Linked DNA regions of Mytilus edulis. The protein of the gene in region 1 interacts with the protein of each later gene in a biochemical or structural test. Links are inferred from orthologs where the notes say so. Each region holds a gene or a part of one and is shown in the gene's direction. Other genes may lie near its edges. The genes, in order: leucine-rich repeat serine/threonine-protein kinase 2-like; protein arginine methyltransferase NDUFAF7, mitochondrial-like; cyclin-G-associated kinase-like; dual specificity mitogen-activated protein kinase kinase 7-like.

Region 1 (8,616 bases):
ATTTCTTTTAAACTACCGGTTTTTTTATCCGTTTTCAGAGGTGTTTACTGAGTGACATTTAGCTGAAATTAGTAAGTACTGGTAAAAGTACTGGTTACTATTAAATGTCATAAACAATATTCGTTGTTGATGACATAGTTTTGACATTTTACCGTTTAATGCTCAAAAAAAGCATTTGTTCTATTGTGGAGAGTTGTCTGTCTGGCATCATACCACATCTTCTTTTTTATATTAGCCGTTTTTACGCTGTTTACTTTTGGACAGAATAACAATTTAAATCCGAAGTCTCTGTACATCAGCGAACCCTTGCAAACACTTTTATGGGGTCCGCAAGCAGCATTGTGCGAGACTAAATTTCTGCCCTTAACTAAATACCTTCAATTTGTATTTATGGGCATTCCACATTTCATGTATGTTCACCCAGCCTGTCCATCTACTTTGAAGAACTAACTTTTACTTAATACATAATTAAATTGTTGGTCTCCATGCATATTGATATTTGCCATTGCACATTAAACCATTAATCATCAATTTAAAGTGAGCAATACGGAGTCCATGCTACGGTTAAGCTTTATTCTGTAATACATGCTCTTTTATTTGAAGATTCTTGCTTAAATTTTGTTAATAGCATTGTACATATATTTATGTAGATTTCTTTACAGGTATTGCATTTCGAACCATTTCTTTGCGACCAATGGTAATTTATGGAGAGCTTGATCAACATTTTATACCTCAGGCTATAGAAGCTGGACTGCAAAACAAAAAGATCATGATTGATTTTTGTGGCAATGGAGCATGTTGTCTTGTTTACGTTGGAAATATAGCTTGGGCTTTTGTATGTGCTTATAAAGCAATGAGGTCAGATAAAACGCTTGGAGGCGAAGCCTTTCTTATTAAAGATAACAGTCCTAATAAATCAATGATGAAGTTTTGTAAACCATACTTTGATTCATTCAATATATCATTGTATCGGTCGTTTGTTCCTTATTGGATTCTGTATGTACTGATAAGTTTTATTCACATTTTACTGTTTTTAATTTCACCATTGAAGAAAGTGCAATTTCCAGTAACAACAGCAACACTTATATATACAAATTTAGCGCTGTCGTTCGACGATTCAAAAGCTAGAAAAATGTTACAGTACAAACCTTTGTACACTCCCGTAGAGAGTTACAAATGTTCACTTAAGTATTATAATTCACTTAACTTTGATAATAAAAAGAAACACTAGTTATATTTTTCCTATAATCTATTTTGATTTTTAGTTATGGCCACACAGAAAAGTGTCAATAAATAAACTGCACCATACAAATGAAAACAAGGAAAAAAGATAAAACGTAATGTCGTGTAAAACCCCAGTCGTTTGCATAGTAAACCCCAATAGCATCAATTATATGCCAAATACGTATCACAACCAAAGAAAACATTCCTAAAAATTGGCGATACTCAATTACACAAATTGAACAACTAATATGTGCCTTGAAAAAAAGCAACTTGACAAGCAATCAAATTGAGAATGGAAATGATAAATGTGTCGAAGAGGGACGCCCAAAGAGCACAAAAAACAGCCGAAAGGTTTTAAACACAACGAGAAAATCCCGAACCCGGAGGCGTGCTTCAGCTGGCCCCTAAACAAAAAAGTGTACTGATAATAGACATCATACTAGACTCCGAAATATATAAATGAACTAGAATAGCCCGAGGCTCCAGACTTGGGACAGGTGCAAAAATGCAGCGAGGTAAAACATGTTTTGTGAGATTTCAACCCTCCCCTAAACCTGTAACCAATATAGAAAAAACAAACACACTACAATATGCACAATAAAACTCAGTTTAAAAGAAGTTTGAGTCTGATGTCAGAAAAGGTAACAAAAGAAACTAAACAAAATGACAATGATGCATAAATGAACAAAGGACTATAGCTACTAGCAGTTGCTGACATGCCAGGATCGTATGAAATAAACATAATTATACTTAAACGGTAACTGTAGTTGTTTACCTTCTACGTTATATTAGTCTCTTATGGAGAGTTATCTCATTTGCAATCATACCTTCATACTTTTGTATAAATCTTATTGTGACAATTTGTTATAGTGTGGAATCGTATCCGGTCTCAATCTGTGAAGAGATAATGCGAATATTACGGGTTGTGTTCGTTATGACCCATTTATGGGCATTATGTTTTCTGATCTGTGCGTCCGTTCGTTCGTTCGTCTGTCCCGCTTCAGGTTAAAGTTTTGGTTAAAGTGTTTGGTCGAGGTAGTTTTTGATGAAGTTGAAGTCCAATCATCTTGAAACTTAGTCCACATGTTCCCTATGATATGATCTTTCTAATGTTAATTTCAAATTAGAGATTTTCCCCCATTTTCACAGTCCATTGAACATAGAAAATGATAGTGTGGATGGAGCATCCGTGTACTGGGGACACATTCTTGTTTCTTATTCATTTGTATCTTCTAAATGAATTTTTGAGATTAAGAAGAGTAAATTACTGTTGCTTCTAAGTTAAATAAAACAGACATGGCCATGACTTTTGGCATTTTCAACTGAGCATTGACTTTGGTAAATACGAGAGGAAGGCTATGCTATTGCATGATAAAAAAAGTTACATTTGCCTAACAATTAAAACATTCATGTTTATCAAGTTAAAATCTAAACCCAACTTATAAAGGTCTGCGTGAGGAGCGCAATATCGGATTGTATTTCCTTTTCACGACCAATCTTGTTACCGCATTGCTTGCAAGAGACTACTTGAATCATCATCGTTTTATGGTCAAACCCATGTCTATAATGTTGAATCTCAATATCATATTCACTCATCATCTCTAAGCACCAGGGTTATAAACCCTCGGAGATTGCAATCGCAGTAGCCATGTTAAGGAATTCATTGTTGATTATTCGAACAATACAGGTTACTCAAAGCTAGTTACATCTGAAGTGCCTAAGTAAGATATCGACTGGAAGTACTAGTAGCTTTTTTTGTGACACACTATTTCATTTTGAATATGAAAACAAGCCGATACAACTTTTTATAAATTGTGCATATTCTATTATCTGTTTGTGATAACACATGCAGCCCCTAAATATATTTTTCTTTCTTGTATCACTGTTATAAATGAATGGTTTTAATCACGGTTTGCCAAAATTACAGATTTGGTCAATTTTGATTTTAGATTTTCAAAAAATCTAAATTGATATATCTTTTAATATTGTTCTCTGCTGTTTATTGTGTGTCATAATGTAAATATGTTCGTGTTGCTATAGCATTTAACTACATATACTTTGCAAATACAGATTTCATTCATTCAAATATATGGAAGAGGAAACACATCTTTTAAAGTGATGCCATTAACTGTCCTATAGTCTACACATAATAGCTGACTAAAACACAACTACAAACAAAACAAAACTAAACAAATCCGTATAGAAGAATGCTCGTAGTTCATGAAATATAACCTTCTACTGTATACGCAGATACGATCTTTCATACATGGCAAAATACAAACCAGTATGAAATTTTGATACAAAAAACCTAAAGAAACATTGTAGTTTTGATTTCAATTGTTAAAGATCTATTTGATGTTTATATTGCAAAAAAACAAATTACCAGGATGTAACAAAAATTTAACACAAGTCAACATTAAAATTTAGTAAGCCCATTAGGGACGACATTAAAAGTTCAATGAAGGATAAAAAACTTAATTCAAATAGTTTTTTCACTGACCCCCCTACCCCCTATTAACTTAATTTGGGAAAAATTGATTGACCCATGTGGATATATGTAAAAATCAATGTCGGATAGCCAAATCTTGCAGCAGTTCAACCCCCACCCAAACTATTAAGTTTTTTTGTTTTTTTTTTATCTTACATTGATCTTTTGATGTCGTCCCTTAGCTGAGAAGAAACAAGATGTAAGAACAGTTCATAAACTTTTTAGTTTTACAAATGGCGTTGTCGTTAAGTGTTGGATATGAAATGCCACTATTTATTAATTTCCTACAATTCAGTGAATACTGCCATAAACTTTATCGAGTTAGTAATGTACGGTCAAAGTTGTGTGAAGACAATTTCAGCCTTTCCAAAAATTTCATTTCTATATGAGTAACATTATATGCATGCCTAGTTTATAATTATAAATGGTTTTTTTTTTTTTATTAAAGTGTGTGTGTCAGGCCTATCCACCACAGTGAATGGCTGGTAAGTTTGGGATATTTGACTTAAAGTTAAAGTAGATACCATCAAAACTGTTATCATGCTAGAATACTTGTTTCCGTTAGAATTGTTTTACATTTGTTGTGCCGGTGCCTTTTATAGCTTTTATGCGGTATGGATTTCAAGTTCTTATTGTAGAATGTCTGCTTACGGTAGCCTATAAATGCTAACATCTAAGATCATCTAAGTCATTGGGTCAAACAACATCTTTTTATTTTATATGAAAAGAAGTATAAATTATAGCTCAACTTTATAACTGAAAAATTAATGACCACTGTATATTCCTTCAAAGTTCTTAAAAATTTAGAGTTTCTTTCTTACAGTCAATCATATGAACAGTATCCGTTGACTTTAATTTCATGACAAACCAAGACAAAATTTTGATGAAACATATAAAAGGTTCTTTTTTTTATTATTTTCATTTCTTTGTTATAGTTATTGTCTTTAATTTGCTTTACTTCGGGAGATAAAATTCATCGTTCATGTACGTTTGCAGTCTTGTAAACTAGTACAAAGAGATGTGGAGCAGCAAACAAAGAAAATAAACAAAAAATACCTCAAACTTCAACCGAAAGGGGGGCAATTGATCCTGCTAGGAGCAGTATAAAGACATGTAAGCTAAATTTCATATAGTAAGTTATTCTGTCTATAAATTTCAGCCATACTATTTGCCCTTTAACATGTTAAATATCGCCAAAAGATATGTGTAAAAGTGGGTATGTATGTACAAATGCTATAAATACATTTGGGCTAATCGGATACCTATTTAAAATTTTATCTCACATGATCTTAAAATCAGGTGAATTTTATTTATAACACAGGAAATGGACAAATCAATTATGGTGTGTATATTCATATTTCAGGTAAATACAATATTTACGTTCAACGTTTTCCAATTCAGACCCAAAATAAACACTCTTAATTTGAAACACAATCTACACCGCCGCATATATTTATTTGTGAACAGGAAAGAAAATACAAACACTATAGACCATCTTTTACTCCTGCTATCAAACTCAAAGAATAACTTCTCTGTATAAATAAGATTCAATGAATTATGAATAAATAAATGTCAACATACTATAATATATACGTGGTAGGTCATCACAGAAACCTATAATAGAGAATGTTATTTCAACAAAATGTGTAAACTTATGTAATTACACCCAATTCGACGACCTCAACGGTATACCATTGGCATGGTTTGCTAGTACATGGCCGTATATCGAACTGTGTGTTCCTGCAAGGACCTTGCACATATACTATACTATTCTCAGCGAGAACATGGATAGTCTATACTAACTATATTAGTATATAATGTCCCTGGATAGTCAGTATAAGAACTACCCGGTATCCTTACGTCTGGGACCAGATATATATATGTATTATATATCTTTACTGCATGGGACCTAAATGAGGACTTTATATTGCCATTATATCATTAGATGTATCAGTATGCCCAGTGAGGTTATGTCACGAGGTCATATAACCTCCTTGGTATGCCTGAGCTTGTTAATAAACTGTCCTAAATATGGAAAATCTCTAAATGGAACCTCTGAATTATTTCCCAGCACAAACTCCTCAGCACCTTTTATCACGGTCCAAAAATCTGTCCAAAGCCTTTTAAAGTTATTTAAATATATGTTTCGAGTTGATTGTGACGTCCATTTTCACACTAGAACACATTTTTGTCTAGTGGACAGCCAAAGCAGCCGCGGGTATAAATCTTTTTTTTTCTAATATAGGATTTCGCTATATTTTTCTATAAATGACGGGAAAATACGAAAACCAGTAAGAAAACTTGAACATGACGCAGCGGCATTAATTGTGCCAGGTTGTGTGGTGTAACTTCAGTGTTTATTGTGTAACCCGTTTTCGCCTCCTGACAGAATGCATGGGGTCATTGCCGTTTTCAAGATTTGTCAGAGGTTTGGTGAAGCATGGACTTTTCTATGCTGTGTTTTGTAGACTGTTGTTTGTCTTTCGCTTCGTTTTTTAAGCATGGCTTAGTTTTCCTTCACTGATGATGTAGTGTTGTCTAACAACGAAAATGCGCGTTCATAATATAAAATCAAGATAACTTTAAGCTTATGGTCTACACAAGTTTCATTTGAATCAAAGACATATATATATAGTATCATGTACGTCTCTAGGTTGGATAGACAAATTATGCTAGATCGATACCTGTGTTATATTAATATATTTTTTTATAAACAAGTGTTAGTTTTGAGATATCTAAGTCTTGAAGTTAGAATAAATAGCAAACCAAAGTCTTAGTTTGTGGTCAGTCCACTCCTGTCACCTTTTAACGATTCTTTTATTTTCTTTTGTTACATCTTCTGACATCGGACTCGGACTTCTCCTGAACTGAATTTTAATGTGCGTATTGTTATGCGTTACTTTTCTACATTGGCTAGACTGGTAATGGGGAGGGTTCAGATCATCTCATAAGCATGTTCAACCACGCCGCAATTTTGCGCCTGTCCAAAGTCAGGAACCCATGGCCTTTGCTAGTCTTGTATGATTTTTAATTTTAGTTTCCTGTGTATAATTCGGAGTTTGGTATGTACTAGTGTACATATTTTTAAGGGGCCAGCTGAAGGACGCCTACGGGTGCGGGAGTTTCTCGCTCCTTTGAAGACCCCGATGATTGGTGGCCTCCAGCTGTTGTTTACTCTATATATATATGGTCGGGTTGTTGTCGCTTAGACATTATCCCCATTTCCTTTCCAGGCACTCGTCTCAGATCCCTATATACCTGAAGTTATAATAAGGAGGCCCCTCATGGGGGGTCCTAGTAATCACATAATCACCATTTTTTTGCCAATATAATCACATAATCATTAAATATTTGCTTATCTTTAGTAATCAAATAATCATAAACTAAAAATACAGTCCTAGGTAATCAAATAATCATGAAATATTTGGCTTAATAATCAAATAATCATTAAAAAAACGGCCAAGTAATCACATAATCAAAAACCCCATGAGGGCCCTCAATAAGGTATATACGATTTTTTTTTCTGAGACAAGTGCCTGTGCAGTGAGTGGCGGCTCCAGCCATTTAAAAAAAGGGGGGTCCCAATTAACCCAGAGTAAAGGGGGGTTCCAACTATATGCTCCCATTCAAATGCATTGATCGGCAAAAAAAAAGGGGGGATTCCAACCCCGGGAACCCCCCCCCCCCCCCTTTTGGATCCGCCACTGAGCACTGTGTAGTTCCTTTCTCAATTTTAGATAAATTATGTAATTGCAAGCACTATTTGGTAGTTTCTTTCCCCGACGCTTCGAGTTCCCATTTTGTTTGCAGGTCCAAAAGATTTTTATAGAGCTAGAGGAGATGCTATAAGTAACAAGTCTTGGAAGTCCAAATTTGACATTCTTCTTCATCTTACAGTAAGTGGCCAAGGTCAACTGATTGACCATGTTGACTATCATGTCACAAAGTGACATTTTTGGAGTGCGCCCATGAAAATAATTTTAAATTTATATATCTTTATAGGTGACATGAGTAAAACTTTATTTTGGTTCGGCAAATTGACAAACATATTACAAAATAAGCTCTATTGTATTTTTTTCTTTCAGATCAGAAACCAGACTGAGTAACATATATGCCTCCCCCTTTTTGAAAGTAAATGGTCAGTCCCTAAGTTAAAAATATAACATGATTTATGATTTTTCTTTTATCATTTTATAATTGCTACTCACTGGCACTGCCATGACTTTCAGTCAATTGAAGAACATCGCCTTCTGGCACTGTCATGACTTTCAGCCAGTAGAAGAACATCGCCTTCTTCTTTGTCATTCAGTACGCCATCCTCATGCTGATAATAATGTGCCTGAAAACAATGATGTCACTATGTTGTGCATATGTGGCAGGGCATAATGTGGGTTTTCAAAATTCTAGTTGCAGGCAAATATACTGATACACATGACATCTATCATGTTGATATGAGAAGATGTGTTATGAGTGCCAATGAGACAACTCTCATCCAAGTCTAAATTTGTAAAAGTAAACAATTATAGGTCAAAGTATGGTCTTTTGCACCAAATACAGCAGGTTTAAACATTTTAATAGGCACCAATTAAAAAAATTGTAGATTTTCATCCCCTTTAATGCCCACTTTTAACAAAAGTATTCTAATGAATGAATATTCCAAAAAAAGTCTATTGAAAGACCAATTCCTGCCAAACTTAATTTCACCCCAAAATTATCTTTAAAAAGCTGCTTCCAAATAATATTAAATAGTTAAATTATAGATTATTTTCATAGGAAAAATGCACAAAATACTAAGTGATATCAGATCATTACATGGCATTTTTCATATCGCATGTATTATCAGCCCTAGGTTCAATATCAGCCCAAGAGCCGCCTGGCATACATGTGATATGAAAAATGACATG
Region 2 (8,451 bases), on another chromosome or scaffold:
GTTATATACATTCATCTTAATTTCTTTCTAGAGAATACATGTGATGCTTTTATTGCATTATAAGTTTGTGAAAATTATACTTGTCATCTGCTGGAGTCCATTTAAGAGGACCTTAGTGTTGCTCACTTCACCTTCTACTAAATATTTGTTATCATTTCTTACTATAAAAAAATATAATTATGTTTGATGTTTATATTTTAGAGGAATAGATATTTGCAAATTGGCCAAACAGAATGAAAAAAATATATACTACTTATTAATTTTTTTTTACAAACTGATGAAAGTAAATATCTTTTATTTTAGACTGCTGCCTAATTGATGCACCTGATAAAGAAAGATCTCAGATTTAGTCATCAGTGAAATGAATTTGGTACAATGTATGTAGTTTAAAGGCAAACATGCGGAATTTTTTTTACAAATTCAAAATAAAGAATTACTGGTCGATCCACAAGAATATAATATAATTCATTCAAAAAAGTAGAGGATGGACATTCAGTGATAACAATAGCTAGCCTCACATTCCCCATTTGCATTAGGTGGGTCAAATGAGACAGGTTGGCTTTTATATGAAAAATAAAGTTGAAATGATTAATTATTTCATATATTGAGGAATGAAACAAAAGATTTTTAGAAATATGTTTTTATTCCATCAATATGGTTAATACAAAAACAATTAAAAATGTCAATTATATTAATAATGGTTACATACAATGTATATGAATATGTCCACTAAAATATATAGTAACAAAAAGTAAAATCACAAAAATACTGAACTCAAAGAAAATTCAAAATGGAAAGTCCCTGATCAAAAAGCAAAATCAAAAGCTTCAACACATCAAATGAATAAACAACAACTGTTACATTACTGACTTGGTACAGAATTTCCTTAAAGTAGAATATTATCAAAATTGCTATAGTAAGGAAGGTAAAAAAATATAGGTGTCTACTAAATATCAGTCATCATGACTATATATATTGTCAGGGCTAGCTTGATCATGTTGATAATAATATACATGTAAGAGATTCTGTATTTTTCCATGTTTTCAACATTTACCTTTTACATTCCCCATTGGCCACAGAATCTCATATTATAAGATTTTAAAATAGTTAATAGTTATATAAGACACATGTTGTGTTAGGCTCTGATCCTGTCCATAACGTTATGGTATGGTATTAGTTTTCTGTTTTGCTTTTTTCCAATCATATTGTGTTGTAAAATGATGCCCTTTATGGGTTCTTGATTAGATTAATAAAATTTTTATCTTATCTTATCTTAAATAACAATAGATATATAGGAAGATACATAATTAAATATTCTTAAGGAGGCTCGCAGGTACAAAAATTTCAGCAAAATAAATATATTTGTTTTCTCATTACAAATTTTATTTACAAAATGTATTAAACTATTACCGTAGTTATTACTTTATGATATGGTACAAAAATCAACCATAAAAATCAATTCGGTTTGACCCTAGATGACTTTTAAAATGTTTATATCATTGAAAAAGCTCCAAATTATCCCCCTTTGGTGCAAAAATGCTGTTTTTTTACATTAAAATTGATGTATCTTTTTAACTCAATGGTGACCTATATTTTTCATTATTGTTTTCAAATAAGCTGTACACAAACTAAATAATTGTAAAATTTAAGCGATTTCTGTTTCTCCTATTAGTTCAACAGAAAAAAAGGACATTAATAAAATGTATGCTTCTTTAAGAGGCAGATTGTGAGCTTAAATGAACGGTGAACCCATTTTTTTATTTCATTTTTCTATTAATAGGAGGCAGATTGTGAGCTTAAATGAACAGTGAACCCATTTTTTTATTTCATTTTTCTATTAAGTATATGATAAAGTTCATCTAACAGGCTATTATTTGAACTTGGAATTATTTTTAATTATGGAATTTGCATAATTTCTTGCGTTTAAAATTTTTAATAGATTCCATGTTTATTTGGTATTATAATCTTTTGAGCGGTTTTAAAATAACACTTTCCATACAATGTATTTTGGTTAGATAGTGTTGTGCGCAGCACAGTACATTCTATTGAAAATATACTATTTTCTTTGTAATAAAAAGTGTTGTGCGCAGCACAGAACATTTCAGTACAGAATAAACATGGAATTTATTAAAAATTTCAATAACAAGAAATCAAGTAAATTTCATAATTAAAAATAATTCCAAGTTCAAATAATAGTCTGTTATTTATAAAAAAAATATAGCAAAATCCTATTTTTCAACAAAAAAATGATTTATACCCACGAGCCCCCTGTTAAAAATGCTGTATTACTGCAGAACTGACAGACGTTATAGAACATTTTTATTTAGGAATAATAAGCTGAAAGATGACCTGACAACCCCATGATTTTACAAGAAAACATCAAGAAAGATGAGAAAGCAGCATACATGTTTCAAATTGTTTCACAAAAAGGTTGATGCAGCAACTAAAATGTACTTCTGGACTTTAATGTGGAGATTGTAGAAGGCATTATCTTCCAAATTTGTTTTGAAGTAATAACACAAGGAAACTGTACACACTATTTAATGTTTTATAGAAAAAAAATGGAGATTTTATTGGTAGATATAGGAAGATGTGGTGTGAGTGCCAATGAGACAACTCTCCATCCAAATAACAATTTATAAAAGTAAACCATTATGGGTCGTTCTTTTAACTTGAGAAGAACATTCCCCATTTCCATTTTCAATTTTATTGATACTGTTATTAAATATTAATATTGTGTTTGTTGTTTAGGATGTCACTTTTGTTTTGGGTGACTGATTTTTACTGAGGCTTATGGTGGGATATATATTTTAATTGTAATGTCTTTTTGTTGGCTAAAGGTGCTAAAATGGCTACATTTTCCTCACAAAATTTACTCTGTGTACAGACAAACCTGTGCATCTTGAAAAGCTTAAAAGCATAGCATGACCTGCTCTGGATAGATAAATTTTGAATATGTTTCATGTTTTAGAAAAAAATATAAGCTTAACAGAATTTTGCAGTGCACTTTTTTTCATTCCCCCTGAAAGTGCCAAAATAAACTAAGTTGGGAAAGTGGTTTGAGAACTTCCCCACAGGTAATAATCGAAGTGACCTGTATTCATGGTATTGATTGACATGAACAATAGATACCCGACAATAATTGGCAATTTAAAATGTGTACCTGAGTGGACCATATCTAGTGAAACACACCAGTTTGTAAATTTTACCATCTTTGGCAGGGGCAAAAAAAAAGCACACTGCAAAAACCAGTTTAGTTTTGAATTTTCTAAATCATACAATACATTTGAAATTTATTTATCTACAAATGTAGGGCATGCATGCTATGCCTTAATTTTTTTCCAGATGACCAGGCTTGGGTTGTCTGTACTCAAGAGTAAATTTAGTTGTGTACAGTAAATATTATAAATAAATATTGATAGGGCCTAGATATTTTTACCTTTTATTGTGTAAATTATGTTATCAGTCCTTAAATATTTTAGATTTTATCCGTGTACAGTGAATTTAAAATTTTAAAGTTATTTGGGGAAAATTTTTAGTGTATAAATTTTAATTAACTCCCGTCTGGATGATATCCTTTCTAAGGAGGTGTTCCATAATTGGAAGGATTTACGTATAGAAGAAGAATGGTAATTTAAGTTCTCCTCTTTCCCAGAATAGTTGACAGCTTCCTGAATTCCCTTATTTTTCTTTTCTGGGAGAATAATTTATGTCCTTGCAAGCAACATTAAGTAATCATCATCCTTATATTAGACAACTATAAACATGTACTGTAATTTGTAAAACTATAGTATAGAACTTAAAAGAAAAACAAACATCGTACCATCTTCACGGTCATACTCTAGACACAGAGTAAGCAAGTAAATATCTTGGAGTAACCATCAGTAACAACCTAACATGGGATAAACACATAGACAATACAGTAGGCAAAGGAAACAGAACTTTGGGGTTTATACGTAGAAACCTCAAAGGCTGTACAAAACCGGTAAAGGCAGCTGCATATGTGTCCATGGTAAGACCTGCAGTGGAATATGCAAGCACAGTATGGGACCCAACCGCTCAAAATAAAATCAAGGCAATTGAACAGGTTCAGAAAAGAGCTGCACGATTTGTGAATAACAACTACACAGACCGAACACCTGGCTGTGTCACAAATATGGTTAAAAATCTAAAGTGGGAAAGCCTCGAAGAACGGAGGAAAACAAATAGATTGTGCATGCTATTCAAGATCCAGCATGAACTTATAGATATAGACCGTCACCAATATTTGACGCCGAATGATAACCGGACCAGAGGTAAAAACCGCTTCTTCCAAGAAAGAACAAGTACAGACACCTACGGCCAATCTTTCTTCCCGAGGACAATCAGGGACTGGAACAACCTACCAACAACAGTTACAGCGACCAACACCGTTGAGGGATTCAGAGCTGCCCTGAAGGCATGCTCTGAAAGGAAGTAGGAAAACCAGTTGTAAATAATTTTAATTGTATATTTTTCTGCGAACGTTTTAAATGTAATTTGTAAATAGCCAAGAGAAATCTTTCTGTGTTGCCCGACACTGCGTAAAGTTTTCGCGCGGAACCATTAACATTCAGCAATGAATCCGGTTCCTTACCTGGAAGAAGAAGAAGAAACAAAACAACACTCAACAGTGTCTAAATGTCTTACCTTACAAAAACATCCCTCTGAATTACCACTGACAGGGCCACTACTATAATTTATCGCTACAAACTCATGTAAAAATAAAATGTTCAAAAGTATGACAAGCTTCATATTAAATAACACTTTTCACGAAACTTCACATGATTTGTGTTTCCCGTGTTTATTTTGGTGACCTGCAACACCTCGGCGGATGATATTCCACCAAAATATAGTTCTTCTATTATGAAAAGTTTCAATAATCATTTCAATATATAAAAACTCGATGACACACAATATATGTTATATTATCACAAAGCAAATGATATTTAACTTTAATTTCTTGAATACTACAATATTTTTCATTGCGGATAAATATTTTAAAAACGAACGTGGCATTACTTGAAAGGATCTAAACAATAACCGTAACATAACCACAGGCAGAAGGGACCATCTCAGTAATATGTCATCCTTGACATTCAGTAAAATTACACACTGTGTATTGGGACGCAATAGTATATATTTAGTATTTACAGGGTCATTTCTGTTTGGGAATTTTGTTTACTGAAGATAAATTGATATTGATGATATTATTCATATAATTAAAAGTGAATCATTAACACTGAATATCTCTGATCATGTCTGTTAATAGTGTTGCTGAGGATATAGTCAACTAAACCATATTATTTTCTATGATGCCTTAAGGACTATGTACCCTTGTGTTGATTCAATACTTTAAAACATATGGAAATTTTATAGAAAATCCACAGCCTTCCCCCTCGTAACCTCATAATTGGCAATTCGATGCTTGATAGAGGATTATTGCATGCAGTGCTAGCAATAATTTCTTTAAAACTAGTTTATAAATTTAGATATTGGTTAAAACAAATATAAATATGGATCAATTCAAGTACACCCTTTAATGACTCAGCACAAGGTGTTTTGGAATTTAAAAGTTGTTTATGACTTTTTGTAAACAATAAACACTAGCTGATCATAGAAAAACAAGTTAGTAATCTATGTTTAAAATTTTATAACAAAAATCTTAGTATTAAAGTCTACAAAAATCTAGGTTTTATTTTCACCAAATTCTCTTTTTCTACTAAATGCAATTAAACTAAAAATATTAATGCTTTGCATGAGGTTTCCCCTTGATACATGTATATGTACAATTTGGTTCATCTTTATTATTCATTATTTTTGCTGTTTTGATACTATTGCAGTTTGAAAAGTTTGTAATTGACAGGCCACAGAAGGGGTCATATACCTTATTTACTTCAGTTTTCAAAATGCCACATAATTGTTTATACTAACTGACTAAGTTACAGCATGAGATGGGATTGGCTGTTTTGCGAATTATGTTTTTCGCTGAAAAGATTGTCATTTATATATCATGCCCTTATGATAGATAGATAGATACTGGTACTTTTATTTTTTAGTTGTACTTGATATTGTCATTTATGTAGTATGTAGTACTACATTTAGCCTTTTTTATAATAATGAACAGTGGTCATTTTTAAAAATCCTGAATCTGCCCCCAACAGTAATTAAACCAAATAGTAAAATGATGGGTTAAACCTGGTTTGATAGCTACATGTAGCTCAACCTAAACTTTATGATAGGATAAGTTAAAATAGTTGGTTAATATGAGAACTAGGAGATGTGATATAATTGTAGTTCTCTTTCTCTCCAAAGATGTCCTTTACACATCATTGGAATGAAACATTGGTATGAATGAAAAGGGACTGAGGGTTATTGTAAATAAGACAGCAAACCAACAAACATCACTTAGATATACTATTTTCCATTGCAACAAAAAATATCAAATGGCTAATACTGTGGATTCATTTATTTTTGTGGGTATCAAATTTCTTAGATTCAGTAAACATTGCATTTTTGTGGATATTTAATTTCGTGGTTTTGTCAATTTATACATACAAGAATATAGAACATTTGTATTTGGTTGAACATTTCAATTTGTGGTTTCGTCTAAACCAAGGAAATCCATGCAAATTGATATTCCACGATTTAAAATGAATCCACAGGAAAATAAAGTGTAGTTTACAAATATCTTCTGTTAATCAGATCATAATTCTAACTTTTCATGTATTACAGGCTTAGGATTATTCAAACATGGAAGAAGTTACTGCACAAAGCTGAAGGAAAATAAAATAATGAAGGGCTTGATGAATAAAATCAAGGCAACAGGTCCCCTTACAGTTGCTGATTACATGAGAGAAGTTCTTACCAGTCCATCAGAGGTATTGATAAATAATAAGGATATGTGGTATAGTTGCCAATGAGACATGATAAATAATAAGGATAAGTGGTATAGTTGCCAATGAGACAACTATCCAATAAAGTCCAAATGAAGGATGTAAGTAGCTGTACGAGATATTATATTCCCCTGTAATTATATGTTCTCATTGGTTTTATAACTTTGGAGATAAATGTCTTATACACAACATCAATGGCAATAATACGTGACAGTCGCACTATGTTATATAGGAAATGATGTTCATTTGTGAAGGACAATGGTTGAACATGATGTAATGATTTTATATATGAATGAAAGGGAACTGAAATTATTTTAAAAACATTTAATGTTTCGAATTTCTATTTAAATTAGCTAACATGGCCTGTTGGGTTTTGTGAGCTTTTTGCCAACATTTTGCATCCATCCACTGTCTATAAACTTTTCTTTAAAACTTTCTCCTCTGAAACTGCTTGATAGATTTTAACGCTGATTTGTCTGCTTCATCTATAGCATGTCTTCTGTAAATTTTATGATCTTTCTCCTAGTTGATCCACTGACATTGCCGACCTGTTCATAAACAGAATATAGATGTCTAACTGTAGTATTGGCTTATTTTATTAAAACAAATATAGCAAATAAAGATAAAATGACAAGGTTAAAATGGGCAGCATTCAGTTCTATATAAATCTAGTCTCAAAATTTTTGAAAAATCTATTCACCTATTTTGGAGTTTTTCCCCCCTGAAATGTTGCATATTTTTCGTTGCATCATTCTCAGGAACTACATCATACGGATTTGTGAAAAAACTATCAGGGTTTATATAAGTCAGCTATACCTGCTGTGATGCGTTTTCAGATTTATCACTAAATCGCTTCCTGTTTACCAAACACTTAAACATTTGGGTGGGGGTATCATCAGTGAGCAGTAGCTTGCAGTTTCACTTGTTATCACAGAACTTCTAGATAGAGGTTAAACATGTTAAATACCATGGATAAAGATGGACAATACCATGCTTTCTACAATGTAAAACTTTTGATATATTAACTTTGCCTGTCTGTCAATGACAACTCTTGATTATTGTGATGATTTCTATTACAGGGATATTATATGACAAGGGATGTATTTGGACAAGAAGGAGACTTTATAACATCACCTGAAATCAGTCAGATGTTTGGAGAGGTATAAATATCACTTTTGAAAAATAGAAAAATTTGATACGATTTCATAAGCATTAGTTTATATTGACCTCAATAATTGAAATAACATTTAATGTAACCCTAACTTTAAAGTAACCTTTGTTTATAGTTTTAAACTGTTTGATTGTTCATCAGTCTGTCTGTCATCTCTGCATGTTAAATAAAACTTTATATCAGATTGCAACCTTACTTGGATACATGGTCACACATTGATTTTGAAGTCACTACATCTTTAATAGATTATTGTCATAGTAACTTATGATAGACTGTATTCATGAAGGAAAGTGATTCATGATACCAAATAGGTGCTGATTCAGACAGTGGCTCAACTGATTCCTCTAAAAAAAAAACAGTAAAAGA
Region 3 (7,952 bases), about 65 Mb from region 1:
AATTGTTGGGCTCTTTATATATCTTTATAGCTTACTGTTCGGTGAGAGCCAAGGCTCCGTATCGAAGATCGTAGTTTGACCTCTTATGTTTTTTTTCTTTTACAAATATATTACCATAATATATAATGAAATACAGTATCCTAACGTCATAGAGTAGGCTTACTACAAAAAAGTGTAAGCGGATAAACGCGGGGAAAATAAAAAAATATGGAAAAGTTCAATATTGATATATATATTATTTTGCGAATAAGCATAGTTTTTACCGTATATGCATACATAAATATATAAAAACAAAGAGTTTAAGTCTTATAAAACTTCAAATTGAGCAAAAAATGAAAGCATGTTTTTTTACCTTATTATCTAACTGATTTTTCAAATAAAAAACGCATACAAGGCCAACCGTATACATTATAAAAAAATCTTTTAGTTTGTACATATCTCAATAATATAGTTACATGTTCTGCTATTGAATCATATCGTCTTTCCATATAATAATGCGCTTCCGTATACATTTTTTTATGTAGTTTAAACATATTTTATTGTCCAAACACATTGACAATAGGATTAGACACAAGTTTCGCAACTTAGAACGTCTTCTCCATTACATACAAATGATAAATAACCGAACAAATTTGAAATACATACTAATAACATCATAAACAATATTAATATGGAGACATGAAATTAACAAGAATTTAAACGACATGTCTCATCGATTCCTAAACAATTATCAAAGATTGTATAGCTTTTTTTCTTCTTCATATTATACCACGCTCACTGATGCTTTAACATTGGGCGAATAAGAATGATCCTTTTGGCGTGTAAACAATATAGTTATAAACGAACAGATGTTATATTGATCGAAATGAAATTTACAAATCAAACACATCTACGACCTGAAAACATATTTTTTAAACAAATTTGTAAAAACTGGTTTCACAATTTTAGATACAATTACTGTTCCTACTCTTCTTCTTTACGGTCAACGAGGCTTCAATACTCTAGATTGGTCAGTTCTATTTCTTGTACCAACCGGGAGCGAGTAATCGGTCAAGTTTGACAGTTCAACGAACAATGTAGGGGTCATGAGATGTTGAGGAACTTCCCTGCTTTTAAAACTATTTACTTCTCCCACAATACACTTATCATAGCGGATACCAGAATTGAAAGCTACTTCTTTTCTTTTCTTCGTAGATTCCTCCGGGTCACAAGGTAGTAAAATATAGACCTTATAATTGAAATTAAACATTAATATAAAAGAAAAGGTGGTAAGGGGGTATATTTACAGCATATTTACCTAGTATTGGTACTTTTCTTCATTTATTTGATCATTGTATTAAACCTATTATTTTATATGGTTGTGAGAACTGGGCACTATTAATATAACCCCTAAGAGAAAATCATCATCTCTCTTTGATATATTTAAGGACTGGGAGTCTGAAAAACTTCACCATAAATTTTGTAAATATATCCTTGGTGTTACTAAATTGTGCACTAATATAGGAGTTCTTACAGAACTAGGAAGATATCCTCTTTACATAGACATGTAAAAACAAGTCTTCATGTATTGGCACAGACTTGAAAATTCCTCATCAAACCTGCTGAATAATGCATACAAGGAGTATACGCATTTACATAGCTTAAACAAAGATAATAATTCCTGATACACTAATATACTCTTTTATGGGGAAAAGTTAAACTTTAATTTGGCTTATTGTAAAACCCTAAGTAAATATAAATTCATAAAATCACTTAAACAATGTCTCCGAAACAGCTTTCTTGAGACTTGGAAAGAGACCAGAGATTCTTATTTACAGGATAAAGGTAAATTGAGTACTCATTTTAAATTTAAATTCTCATTTGGTAAAGAAACCTATCTATCTTCTATAAATTCTTAACAAATTTAGATTAAGTAATCACAAATTTAAAAGAGTTGAAACTGGTCGTCATGAACGCAGGGTAAACATGTCAGGTAAAGTAGAGAATATTCCACGATGTGAAAGACTTTGTCAATATTGTAATTTGAATGTGACTGAGGATGAACTCCATTTTTTGTTGGAATGTCCTTTATATGTAACTTCAAGAACCATTTTACTTAATGATTTATTTATGGAATATCCAAAACTAAGAAGACTTAATTCGCAAAACCTATTTATATGGATAATGACAAGTGATGATGATAATTTTATTAAGAATTTATGCAAATATTTGACTTCAAACTTAGAAGTGAGAAATTATACTGTCAAGTAAAAATTAATACAGGTTTTAATGATAATATCTGATGAAGAGTTATCTTTCTTTTGCCGAACTGACAATGTCGTATATATATGGGCGTTTTTCAAAGCGTAACTTTCAGACCGTCCTAAAAATGGAAAATCAACTTGTCTAAAATGTAATTTCAAGAGTTATTTTGAATGCCTCTATTATAGACCTGTTTGTAAACAAAAAGTGCAATATTAAATACTCTTTAATAAAATGATATAATTTTCATAATTTGTGTACTATTTCGTAGGGGACAAAAACGAAACTGCTTCTAAACACACATATTTTTGCAATTTTAAATGTTTCCTATAGACGTTCCAGTTTGTTTACTTTATATACTAGAAAAATCTCATTTTTTTCTGGATTGGAGAACCATTTTGTACCGATAAAGATTAGACAGTACTTCACATATGAAGGTACACTTGACTCATGTTATGTAGTGGACATTTTGATGCGTTTCGTAGTTGACAAAACCGTATCGTAGCGGACAAAAAGTTTCGTAGTTGACATCAACCCTATTCTATGTTAATAAAAACATAATAAAAATAACATGAAACTAACCCTTATTATTTGTTTTGCACGGATATAATTGAAAAAAAAAGAGTAAAAAAAAGACTGCATGGTAGTGGGAGTGTCCACTACGAAACGTTTTTCTCCCATACTTGTTTCGTAGTTGACCGTTTCGTAGGGGACATATTAACATGTTTTAATTTCCCCCCACAATTCCTATATTGCAATAGTAACAAGACTGATTGTATTCATCAAAGCATGTTTTAAGCTGTACACTGATATGTTTTTCATAATTTTAAAACCAGATACTGAAGGAGATTTGACCCGTTTCGTAGTGGACATACACAAAAATACGGTATCACTCTGGTCCATTTGATGTGCTCAATTTTTCTTACCAACGATTAAATTGCCGTTATAAAAGCATCACTTCTTTTGTAAGACCCTAATGTTTATATCTCTTGAAAACAAAAATTACATTGATTTTATAAAACTGTTTATTAGCAATTTTTAATGACTTCGTTTCGTAGTGGACATTTTGTCAGGGACACTCCTTCTGAAATTAAAAATCCTATGTTAAAAGCTGTTTATTAAAATGATGTTGGCTCTAAACATACTTTTGAATTATTAAAGAACTTATATTAAGTAAAAATAGCATTTATTTCTACATTGTTTACGATATTTTAGAGTATGGATGTTGAACAGGCGGTCTAGGGACATGCCATTTTGGTTGTTTTCTACCATTCAGGAATCAATATCTTATCAATCCCTCTAAAAACTAAACTGCTTCTTTGCTTAAAAATGTTAATTCTAATTCAATGTACTGACTGTACAAAAAATTACTTGCAAAGATCAAACACATTTTTTTTAAAGTGGCTAGGACAAGAAAGTGCGTTTTTATTGAAAAACGCCCATATACTGTTCTTTTGTTTTTATATGAATCTTATTATATATTATATTCATATTGTTTCTAAACATGTATTTATGTTTTGATTTGTCTATTATGATTTATTTGTTTGTAATTGATATGATAATAAATAATTGATATGCCTATAAGGGCCCTTTGATTAGGAATTAAACATATTTTATTTGATTTGATTTGATACAGCAGGCCATCATTTATCTGTTTAGTCATACTATTAAGAAATTAGCTATTATAGCTATGTTAAAAAGATATTGATAACTGAAAGATTAAAATAAATAAAATTGGTGCTCAAAAATTTACAGTGGATATATTTACAAGACAAGACAAGACTAGACAATATTTTATTTAAGTCTCACCTCTTCAATATATAAAACATGCAAACAGTTGATAAAACAATGATCATAAAACATACAAGAGCCACTCTAAAAAGAGTTATGAGAGACTATCTAAAATGTATATACAGTATTTACACTAAAACTAGCTATATAAAATACATTTTCTTTTACATCAGTTTAATTACTTGCATTTATTACATGTATAGGTAACTCATAAACTGTTAATGTGACTTATTTACAGTGACTAAATCATTAAAAATTGTTACGATTGGATGTATAAAAAAACAGTAGCTTCCACATGTTTGTACATGATATATGTAATAGTATCCTCAATCTGTGGTCCTACTAATATACAACCTTGACCCACACACTCAAGACTAAGTCACTTGAAGTCAATGATTGAGTCAATCCGCTGTAACTGAAACAATTTATGGTCTTTATTGCGTTACTTTAAACTGGTTGTTTTTTTCGGTTATATGTCATCTCATAAGGTCGTAACTAATTTCATTTTTAGTTATATATATTAGAAACTCTTGGTTTTTATAAATCGAAATCAATATTTGGTTTCTGATAGCTCACCATCTTTTAGTGTGAGAATACATTTATTAGTTGAATGTTTATGATTATCGCAAATTAAATTACTTCCGGCAAATTGACGTCACCTCTCTACGCCTGTCACAATGTCCAGATAGTCTAAATCATAAAGCAAAAAGAAATGACAGACTTTTTCAAGTCGGCGTTTGGGATAATAAGCGGTGGTGGTCCCGGTGGTGCTGAGAATGATTTTGTTGGTCAAATGGTTGAGCTGGGAAATCAGAAACTCCGTGTGAAAAGGGTCATTGCAGAAGGTAACTTCACGACTTTAATATCAACATTCACACTTTCGTGCCTTTTATGTTTGTGACTTTGCAAACAACCGAGAAATCATCTATTATGAAGCGTTAGAAATCTTCTTCTTGGACGCCTCTTTCCTCTCTACGTCAATTTACAATTATCAATTAATAGATTATTAGAATTTTAAGTCTGTCATTCAGAATATTGATGTATTATAAATCGAACTGTTCTTTTAATCTGAGACAAGGGGTCCTACTAGAAAAAGTGCCTGTGGAAAAAAATAGCCCCTGGCGAAAAGAAAAGGTGCCCTGTGAAAATATACAGATATTGTACAATGTTGTATTGGCATGAGACAACCTTGTGTCGATGAAATAAGTTATGGACATTGATTTTTTTTAACTTGAGACAAGTATTTTGCAAATTCAGATAATAGACATTTGTAGTAAAGCGCAAAAACAATAATGTATGAATGCTATTTCAAAAGAGATAATAATGGATCACAGTTTATGCTGAAGATTCATCAAATGTAAGACATCAAAAGTGCATTAATTTCGGTTAAATTAATTAATATTTATTTATTTATTTATCTAAAGCAACTTAAATTTCACAGATATGTATTAATTTAACCGAAATTAAGAGTTACACATAATAAATCAGCAAATAAAGCAGTACTTTATGTGTACCATATAGTTAAAACAAGGGGGTAAAAAGCAGGAGTTTGGTTTAAATTTAAAACTAAGCATTAAAACCCTGATAAGCATAGCCATTAAAACAGTTTTAGTTTTATAAAAAAAACCTTAATAAATCTAGATACTATATCAGCATCTGCATATCATACATTTACTATTGTTAAAAAAGCGCTAAAAGTAAAAAGCTAATATTAAAACACTGATAATCATAGCCACTAAAACAGTTTCAGTTTTAAAAAAATTGTAAGGGTACCGCAGAACCCATCGCACCTACTTTTGCTAAGAATCCAGGATCATAAGTTTATGAATCTAGTAATTGTTTTAAAAACTTAAACTGCAGACTGTATGTTTTTTAAATTGGAAGAAAAACTAAGTCCATTTATAAGTAAAATACAGATAAACAGGTTCAAAATTTGAACAAAATTTCCTTCTAGATACTAGCTTTTGATGATCATAAACAAGCTTCTGTTCAAGTTTGGTACAAATTCATGATAGTGAAAGAAAGTTATTAAAATTTCTTAATAACATGGTCATAATATGAAACTGGAAGGCTGGGTGTCAGAATAAGAGGCCATAAAAGGTCCAAAAAGAAGCATTTTTCTAGTTTACAGACAATAACTTGTGTTTAAGTGTATGGATCTCTCTGAAATTATACTATAAGCTTTCATAATACAAAGGTTAGGCTGGAATTGGGTTTTGGGGTTCTTGGTCGATGGGGGTTTCTATAAGTGAGGGGCCAAAAAAGGGGTCCAAATAAGCATTTTTGTAGTTTTCAGTCAATAACTTGTGTTTAAGGGGGAAAATCTCTCTGAAATTTATACCACAAGTTTCCATTCTTCACAGGGAAGGTTATTGGGGTAATGGATCAAATCATTAAGTAATTAGGGACAAAAAAGGGGAGAAACAAGGTTTTTTTCTGGTTGGAGGTAAAAGCAGTGTAAGGGAGGTAATCCAATTCCAATTAAAATTTAGAGAATACTGTTATATATATTTATATATATATATGTTTGATAATGATTATTTGAGTACCTCCCTTACACTGCTTGAAAATTATGTTAAAGGAAGTGATACATGTAATTGTCTTGAGATGTGTTTGAGTTCTGATACTTGGAAGATTCTTTTAAAATTTTGAGTTCCTACTGTTTTGACTGAAAAGATTATAGCTTGAATAAAAAAGAAATGAATGTTCACCGACGAATCAGATTAATTTACATTCATTTTAAAAATGAGTATCTCAAACACTACTTCGCGGATCTGCCATGCGCTGAAGAGAAAATCACAAGAAATCTACGCGAGATTGCGTTTTCCTTCATTCATGAATGATCATGAATGAACATTTTCCCGCTCTACTTTTACCTGTTTACTATATCATGTATATGTACTTACGTAAACGTGGTAAAATCCCGAGAGTATCGAAAGAATCGGGAATGACTGATTAAAATGCGAGAACAAGTTGACATTTTGACCAAGCCGTCGGATAATTGAAAAGTGATAAGTGATACTATAAACAAAACATAGGTGAAGAATATAAAATACTCGATAATTAAAATTAAATTATACATGTCTTACGTCTCACGCCAAGGACGAGTAAAGGTAAATACCGGATTGGATAAAAAAAATAAAAATTAAAAAATGCATTGTTTTTGTCTAAACATCGATCGGAAGATTTTGATGCCAAAAATCATTTGAAAACTTAATTCCCGTTATTTAAATACTAATTGTTTCACATTCCAAGCATGCCCAAGTGGGTCAAACTGACAGCAGAAAAACATTGACCCAACGTCAGTTCTTCTTCAGTCTTCTTCCAATAATTTACATCGTACCACTGGTGTATTATTGTAAATTCGTATTAACCCTTTGGCTAAAATGGCTGCATTTTCACCCCAAAATTTAGATAGATAACAGACAAACCTGTGCATCTGGAAAAGTTTTAAGGCATACCATGCCATATATAAATAGATTTCAATTGCTTTGTCATCCAAACACAGTGGCAATGATTACCGTAATATATCAAATGAATGGCTTAAAACAAAAATTCTCAAATGTTATTTACTCATAAGACAATGCTTAATTTCACAACAGCAACTAAAATGTGTTACAGGTTATAAGCACCTCTATGAATCTAGTGTATATAATTTTTTTATTCCTGTGGTCATACTGCTGTTGTTATGCTCCCAACGTATTGATTTTTTCCTTGTTATGCTGTAAGTATGTACGTCCTTCCCTTATTTGTACGTACATGTACCTCCATACATCCCAAAATTCGTTTCTGTTCTCTTACTTTAGTTTGCCTGAACCAAATTGTATGAAACTTATACGCAATGCGTATAACCACAATTCACAAGTCAAGTTTGAATTTTAGTTTCGTCCCTTTTACCATTCTAGAGTTTTATGCTACTT
Region 4 (8,282 bases), on another chromosome or scaffold:
TTTCTTGATTGACAACATATTTGTTACGTTCGGGGGACGCGTTTTTCAACAGACTGTCGGCATTCCAATGGGAACAAATTGTGCCCCTCTACTTGCCGACTTGTTTCTTTATTATTATGAGGCTGACTTCATGCAGGAACTTCTTAGGAAGAAAGATAAGAAGATTGCAATATCCTTTAACTCTACTTTTCGCTATATAGATGATGTTCTTTCACTAAATAATTCAAAATTTGGTGACTATGTGGAACGCATCGAGCTAGAGATAAAGGATACTACAGATACAGTTAAGTCGGCCTCATATCTTGACTTACATCTAGAAATTGACAATGAGGGTCGGTTGAAAACAAAACTTTACGACAAAAGAGATGATTTCAGCTTTCCAATTGTGAACTTTCCATTTCTAAGTAGCAACATTCCAGCAGCACCTGCATACGGGGTATATATCTCCCAATTGATACGATATTCCCGTGCTTGCATTTCCTATCATGATTTTCTTGATAGAGGGTTGCTGCTCACAAGGAAGCAATTAAACCAAGAGTTCCAAATGGTGAAGTTGAAATCATCCCTTCGTAAATTTTACGGACGCCACCACGAGTTGGTTGACCGTTATGGAATAACCGTTTTACAAATGATATCGGATATGTTCCTTACGTTGTAAATACAATCCCCTTCCCTTTCATGAATGTGACCTACCGAATTATACCATTTACCGGATTTGTTATCACATAAGCAACACGACGGGTGCCGCATGTGGAGCAGGATCTGCTTACCCCTCCGGAGTATCTGAGATCACCCCTAGTTTTTTGGTGGGGTTCGTGTTGTTTATTCTTTAGTTTTCTATGTTGTGTCGTGTGTGGTGTTGTTTGTTTGTCTTTTTCATTTTTAGCCATGGCGTTGTCAGTTTGTTTTAGATTTATGAGTTTGACTGTCCCTTTGGTATCTTTCGTCCCTACTTTTAGAAACTGTCAATGGACTAGTTTAATTAACCTTAATGGGAACGCATGGATATATAAAAAAAACAAATGGCACGGCTCTTTCAATTCACTTATCTGTCACGCTTTCCGTGTGCTCTGTTTGATTTATTTATCAATGTCAGGATCTGGCAAACTTTGACATTAAACACATCAACATCCACTGGATGAAATATTTTTATTTTCGTCAGTTTATTATAAATGTGTAATAAATATAGAAAAAGGGTGCATGCACGGCTAAGTTTAGTATATATAGATAAAAGAAGATGTGGTATGAGTGCCAAATGAGATAACTCTCAATCTAAGTCTCAATTTGTAGAAGTAAACCATTATAGGTTGAAGTACGGTCTTTTAAGGGCCCCAAAAATGACCATTCAAACAGGAATGCATGCATTAATCCAATAAGCTCGATAATATTTAAATTTCAAGAAACTCGTTTCATATATAGCTAGTACTTTACATCTAGGACCAATTAACAAAGGTAGCAGTCTTAGTTTAACTAATTAAGCAATATCTTTGAATTCTCTATTATGTCATTTACAAAACACGTTGGCTCCAAAAAAAAAGTCAAAACGTTCTATAAGGTCAACTTTGTATCATGTGACGAGTTTGAAACCACCTTGTTTGCCACAGTAAATGATACAACACTTGGACATTTAAGTGACATAATCAAGCCATCGTTCAGCCTTCCTAATGCAATTGGCCAGTTATCTTTATTTTGTTCTTGTTTCGTTTTTATTTCGTCTTTTCATTAAATTATTATGCACGAACTCGAGTGCACGAACAAGTTTGGAATTGTTGTCAGGAGATAAGGGTTGCACTAATGACAGGATGATTGCCCGGATAGTGACAGGACGGTTGACCGGACGACATATAAATAGTCATAACTTTTTTGTTATCCGATAGATTTGTTTAATATTTGTAAACCTGAAAGATATTAAACTATTTTTTATGAATATAAAAAAAAAAGAGGAAAAATATTTATTTTTGAGCAAAAAAAGTTGACCGGACGGTATTCACACTCGCCAATATACGCTAAATATATATTCAACTGGTTGACGACAAGTGTTATATCTCTTTTGTTTTACAATATTTGTCCATGAAACTCAGGAATCTGTGAGATTTATAAATATATTATACGAAAATATAAACTTGATTGCAAAAAAACGTGTTTTTCTCAAAAAAAAAGTTGACCGGACGGTATTCACCCTCGCCGATATACGCTATATATATATTGAAATGGTCGACGACAAGTGTTGATATCTCTTTTGTTTTACAATATTTTATCATGAAATTCAGGAATCTGTGAGAATAATAAATATTGGATACGACAATATAAACTTTATAGTGAAAAAAAAAGTTTGTCTCCAAAAAAAGTTGACCGGACGGTGTTCACATTCGCCGATGTACGCGTTAATTATATTGAACTGATACAAATAAGTGTCAATATCTTATTTGTTTTACAATATTTTTACACGAAACTAAGAAATCTACGAGATCAATAAATACTTGATATGAAAATATAAACTTTATAGTAAATAAAAATGTTTTTCTTCAAAAAAAGATGACCGGACGGAACAAACATTCGCCGTTAGCTATATGCCTTAATATAAGTTGGTAGACCCAAGTGTTTATATCTCTTTTATTTTATCAAATTTATGAAATCTGAGAGATCAATAAGTACTTGATATGAAAATATAAACCTTATATCAAATATGTTAAATGTTGTTCTTAAAAAAAAAAAGTTGATCTGAGGGAATTAACATTCGCCGATATTATTATTTAAATATATTGAACTGATCAACACAAGTTTTAATATCTCTTCATTTTTATAATATATCTGTCCATGAAATGAAATAATTTGTGAGATTAGATAAATATTTTACAAGAAAAATAAACTTTAAAGTAAAAACAATGAGCCCAAAATGTTTATGTGAGCGAGTTCACCAATGCATATTAGAAGTAATGATATTTAATCAAATTAATCTAATTTTGACACTTGTTGTAATCACCAATCAAGCCAAATAACATGTCATTAAAGTTTTCACACCTGAGATATCAAATACATTTAATTGAATTACCTTATAATCAGTTGGTAATTAGTATCCAATTAAAGAAGAAATTTTATGAAGTTCAGGATTTCAGATTAACATTTAACTCACCTAATAATAACTATTCAATTGTTCAGTCATTTATGCTCTGACTTTCAACCAGTTCAGATCACACAAATTAAAAGATGAATTAATCAGAAAGTGGTCAAAACCGGTAGTAGTATACTTTGAAAAGATGGAAAAGGACATTCTTACTCACAGTGGCAAATGGGTAATTGATAAATACCAAAACCTTTATGATCCATATTCTGGCATTACCAATAATGCATGTGAAAGCATGAATGCAGTTATAAAAAGGCGTAATGAGAGAGCATTTGATTAAATGCCTTGAACTGGGATACTTTTCTAAATTCCCTCAATCACTAAATTCTTGTGCTGACTCAGTCAAGATGCACACAAGAAAAATTGAATGTAGCTGTGTTTGTGGTAAGCCTGATATATTGGAAAATATGTTTGGATGTGAAGGCAAACGAGGACGTGTCACTTGCAGCAAGTGGGTTCACCAGAGTTGTTCCAATGTTTTAGGGGACTGGCTCTGTGATGAACACCGTTCAACTGTCTAATTTGTATGAATTTGTGTTTGTTTCCTGTATTTGCTTTGTGAATGAACCACATTTGTTTTTTTGTAATAACGATGTAATTTTGAAATAAAAGGTATATCCTGCTCGAAATTCCCACTTCCACCTCCCCGTTGGTGAGCAGGGGGCAGAATTATTCTGGCAGACGGAAGGGGTCGGTTAACAATTTGTTGCCGCCAATTTTTACCATTTGAACAAATTGAAACAATTTCATTTATTCGATAGTAATATAAACTATTAACTATAAACAAGGATTTCTAACTATACAAATCCTTGCTATAAAGGTTATTTTTTCATAAAATATTGCTATTAACAATATTATAACCAAAGAAGAGATATTTTAGTCTTGTGTCGATCAGTTCAATATATTAAGGCATATATCGATTGAATGTAAAATCCGTCCGGATTTAAATATATAGTTTAATTTTTCGTATAATATATTTATTCATTTCCAATGTTCATAAATTTCAGGGACAGATATGGTAAAAAAAATAATATTAACACTTATGTCAATCAATTTATTATTATTAACATATATCGGCGAATGTTAGCTGTCTGGTCAACTTTTTTTTTAAGAAAAATAAGTTTTTTATCATAGAGTTTATATTTTCATATCATATATTTATTTATCTCGCACATATCTCAGTTTTATGAAAAAATATTGTTTACAAAAAAAATATTTACATTTTTTGTCGCTCAGTTCAATATAATCAACGCGTACATCGGCGAGGGTGAATACCGTCCGGTCAACTTTTTTTGCAGATTTTTTTTCTTTTTTACTTTAAAGTTTATATTTTCGTATAATATACTATTCAATCTCACAGGTTCCTGATTTTCATGTACAAATATTGTAAAACAAAAGAGATATTAACACTTGTCGTCGACCATTTCAATATATATATAGCGTATATCGGCGAGGGTGAATACCGTCCGGTCAACTTTTTTTTAAGAAAAACACGTTTTTTTGCAATCAAGTTTATATTTTCGTATAATATATTTATAAATCTCACAGATTCCTGAGTTTCATGGACAAATATTGTAAAACAAAAGAGATATTAACACTTGTCGTCAACCAGTTGAATATATATTTAGCGTATATTGGCGAGTGTGAATACCGTCCGGTCAACTTTTTTTGCTCAAAAATAATTATTTTTCCTCTTTTTTTTTATATTCATAAAATATAGTTTAATATCTTTCAGGTTTACAAATATTAAACAAATCTATCGGATAACAAAAAAGTTATGACTATATATATGTCGTCCGGTCAACCGTCCTGTCACTATCCGGGCAATCGTCCTGTCATTAGTGGTTCCCAGGAGATAACTGTAAATATTTAAAGCGCACAAATGATTTACACAAGCAGTTTACCGATTCCGATTTTATCATGTGATCAAAATGTCTTCGACTCTACAGCAAAAAATAAATGAGTTAGAACGAAGATTGAAGCTTGAAAACAAATCAAGGGATCATGATAGAACAAAACCTATGGTTATGGGAAATGATTTCCCAATTTCGAGACCACCAAAGGCAGAATCGGGACACCCTAGTCCTGCTAGAAGACCTAGACCTGGGCGTACGTTTTCAGTTTGTTAAACATAAACAATGGAATTTATTGCCCTATTAACACAATTTTGCCGACTTTATCCCTTCAAACAGTCTATTGTATTTAAAACTATACAATTCTTTAGCTTCTATTCGATACATTAATCTTATATTCAAATTATAATGAAATGACAAACCTGGAATTCAGCATTATCAGATTAATATTTAGCTTTCATCCAACTATTTGTTATCATTTGACTGTTTTGAGCTTGTTGCAATAAAATTAGTATTAGATTATGTAAGCAGAATTGAAAATAAAACATTAATAGAAGAAGTAAAAATATTTTCGGACAGTCAAACAGCTATTGGAATTTTAACATTAAACTGGAAAATTGAAAATCATCGATCCACTTCACATGAAATTATTTCCCTTATTAAATCAATCCAAAAACACCATGGAATAAAAATTAATTTTGATTGGACCCCAGGACATGCAGATGTAAGAGGAAATGAAATAGCTGATAAACTAGCTAAAGAGGCAGCTAAAGAGGCAAATCAAATTCAAAAAGAAGCTCATATTACAGTAACTAAACAAGATATTAAAACAGCAGCAAGAATTTTAGTAAATAAAAAGTGGCAACATAGATGGGATAATAGTGATACAGGAAGATTTTATTATAACTTTCATCAGACCGTCAGCAAAAAATCTACATTTGATTATCCAGAACATAAAACAGCAAAAATTATTAGAAATTTAAGATCCGGATACTACCTAAAAAATTACCAAAACAAAGTCAATCAAAATATAGACCCCAAGTGTGAATGTGGTCAATTAGAAACTGTGGAACATTATTTATTATTTTGTGAAAATTATGAAGAGGCAAGACAGAAACTTATACATGAGATATACTTTAACACAGGATCGTTGCATATTGATTTGGAACTTTTATTGTCAATGGAAAAAAAACGACAATGTCTCCGTCTCTAATGAAACACTAATGCGATTGTTGGGTGACTTTATTCATGTTATTTGCGAGTCGCGCCGGTTTGATTAATGTAATGTTAAATTTTTTAATTTTTTTTTTCCTTTAAATTTTCATGTTAATTAATAAATGTATATATCTTTTTAATTTTTGTAAAAATATGTTAAGCAGTTGCCACCTAATAGTATATATCTTAAAGTACAAGTGAGTTGTTTACCAGAGTGAAATATATACACGCTAGACTTGAAAAATTACAAGGGAGACAATCCAGTGTCAACAGCGACACCTACAGAATACAGAATACTGTTTTGCAAATATCAAGGATTTGTATATACAAATACTTGCAAATATCATTATAAGCATGATAAAAATGTGAGCATTTGAAGTATTAATTAATGATTCCCATGGATGAATTGATTTGAGTGGCATTTATACAGTGCCAATTAACATATACATGTATATGTACAGGTAGACTACAGTTGGATTGATTGTTTGATTTTGCTTTGTCCAGTGGCAAATTAATCCCTTGTGGCAATATTTACCGCGTAAATTAGATATTTTCCAATTTGGCCGCCCTAAGAAAGTCTATCAAAGCATTTCAATGCTGTTTGGGTAAACATGGCCTGAATCGTGCTTTAAAGTCTATCTTTGAATTTTGTACAAATTCTACATAGAAAACCATATCAAGGAATAAAATAAAATAATCAGCCTATCTTCCTACATGTATACCTATATCCTGAAAACCTCAGATGGGAAGGGTTAAAAAAGACATTTTTAATGTTGGTCTAAAAAGTAAGATATTTTCAAGATTCTGAAAGGCAAATATGTTTTCTGTTCAGTTACTATTGACTTCAGATTGATGGAATAGGGTGGTACAATGTAGAACACTTTAAAGCAATCAACAAAGGCGAGGAATCTTGCACAAATTTTATGTAAATAGCATTAATACGGATTTGATAGGGATTCTGAGGGCAGCAAAATCAGAAAATCACTCGAACATGTGCTCAAGCACAGAATCTCAAAATTATAGGAATTTATTTTTCGCTATTTGACAAAGCAAAAATGATCAATCAATCAAACCATAGGTACATGTACATGTAAAATGAACCTCATTAATAATTTGCTTACAATAACTATTGTGAATTTTGAAGTATTGACTAGAATATAAGATTATTCTATAATCGTTGGGATTACATGTGTACCATGAAAATCTGCATACAAGTATATACAGATATCAGAATGCAAGTTTTATTATTGGGATACTCACTCATCACATTAGTCACATCCTCATTTATGTTAATCTTGCAGTAATTTCTGAAATTTCATTATATTTAGTTTAAGACTCATTTATTTATTTTTTCATCAACTGAGTTTGGATCATTGTACAAGTATCAATTCAAGTCTACAAGTCAGACTTCTATACATACTTATAATATTATACCATTGGCAGATGAAAAATTAACCTGACCACAACGGTGAACAAACTGTACCCCATCAACTAATTACCGTAACTTTCTTTCTTTAAAAAATTGAATCATAGTTATATGTAAATTCACAAGCTCGTTCTAGCATCACTGATGAGTCTTTTGTAGATGAAAGCATGTCTTAAAAACAAAATGTTCAGTCAGGAATCTGATGAGTTTATTTTCTTCACTCTAGCATGACAAATTGCAGTTTCACTATATTAACATTTTATCAATGCAAGTGAGCCTCTGTATAGAAGTGAATGTAGGACAGGAAGTATGAAGATTTCATTGTAAACAAATATTGTGGTCCTTAATGCCAAGATAATGATATACAGAAGCAAAACACAGATGAAAATGATACAGACATGAACCACATCATCTTTTAATTACCTGTAACTCGCATGTGTTGGAAATGTAGGCAGTTTATTGTTTGCCTCTGTCTATTCTTATGTGTTATTGTTTTGTCATTTTCTGTTTTAGTGGGTGAAATAGGGACTGCATTTTCTAGGCCAAGTTCTGCACCTCCTCCTGGAAGACGAAGACCAGCAGCTAATTTAGATTTAGGAGGAAGTAGAGCACCTAGGCAGTATGATGGGTAAGAATTCATGTAAAACTTCTTTACAGCCGATTC

What was found.
Region 2: the proteins of leucine-rich repeat serine/threonine-protein kinase 2-like (region 1) and protein arginine methyltransferase NDUFAF7, mitochondrial-like form a complex in vitro, tested with the Homo sapiens proteins (2 studies listed by BioGRID and IntAct, with this or other methods). The link is inferred for Mytilus edulis from reciprocal best matches to the Homo sapiens genes LRRK2 and NDUFAF7.
Region 3: the proteins of leucine-rich repeat serine/threonine-protein kinase 2-like (region 1) and cyclin-G-associated kinase-like interact on a protein array, tested with the Homo sapiens proteins (3 studies listed by BioGRID and IntAct, with this or other methods). The link is inferred for Mytilus edulis from reciprocal best matches to the Homo sapiens genes LRRK2 and GAK.
Region 4: of the proteins of leucine-rich repeat serine/threonine-protein kinase 2-like (region 1) and dual specificity mitogen-activated protein kinase kinase 7-like, one has a biochemical effect on the other in vitro, tested with the Homo sapiens proteins (2 studies listed by BioGRID). The link is inferred for Mytilus edulis from reciprocal best matches to the Homo sapiens genes LRRK2 and MAP2K7.

What each region holds. Positions count from the first base shown.
Region 1 is NC_092344.1:55,467,008-55,475,623, reverse strand, and holds the start of leucine-rich repeat serine/threonine-protein kinase 2-like, read left to right. Parts: upstream 1-4,990; 5' UTR 4,991-5,075; intron 5,076-8,616. Other genes in the region: 3 beta-hydroxysteroid dehydrogenase/Delta 5-->4-isomerase type 1-like, read left to right, coding at 663-1,231. UniProt on the Homo sapiens protein: Serine/threonine-protein kinase which phosphorylates a broad range of proteins involved in multiple processes such as neuronal plasticity, innate immunity, autophagy, and vesicle trafficking.
Region 2 is NC_092346.1:102,471,590-102,480,040, reverse strand, and holds the start of protein arginine methyltransferase NDUFAF7, mitochondrial-like, read left to right. Parts: upstream 1-5,020; 5' UTR 5,021-5,101; coding exon 5,102-5,153; intron 5,154-6,753; coding exon 6,754-6,899; intron 6,900-7,993; coding exon 7,994-8,074; intron 8,075-8,451. Other genes in the region: ERO1-like protein alpha, read right to left, coding at 4,669-4,773. UniProt on the Homo sapiens protein: Arginine methyltransferase involved in the assembly or stability of mitochondrial NADH:ubiquinone oxidoreductase complex (complex I).
Region 3 is NC_092344.1:120,086,045-120,093,996, reverse strand, and holds the start of cyclin-G-associated kinase-like, read left to right. Parts: upstream 1-4,645; 5' UTR 4,646-4,744; coding exon 4,745-4,877; intron 4,878-7,952. UniProt on the Homo sapiens protein: Associates with cyclin G and CDK5. Seems to act as an auxilin homolog that is involved in the uncoating of clathrin-coated vesicles by Hsc70 in non-neuronal cells. Expression oscillates slightly during the cell cycle, peaking at G1.
Region 4 is NC_092345.1:19,165,111-19,173,392, reverse strand, and holds the start of dual specificity mitogen-activated protein kinase kinase 7-like, read left to right. Parts: upstream 1-5,002; 5' UTR 5,003-5,055; coding exon 5,056-5,233; intron 5,234-8,131; coding exon 8,132-8,246; intron 8,247-8,282. UniProt on the Homo sapiens protein: Dual specificity protein kinase which acts as an essential component of the MAP kinase signal transduction pathway. Essential component of the stress-activated protein kinase/c-Jun N-terminal kinase (SAP/JNK) signaling pathway.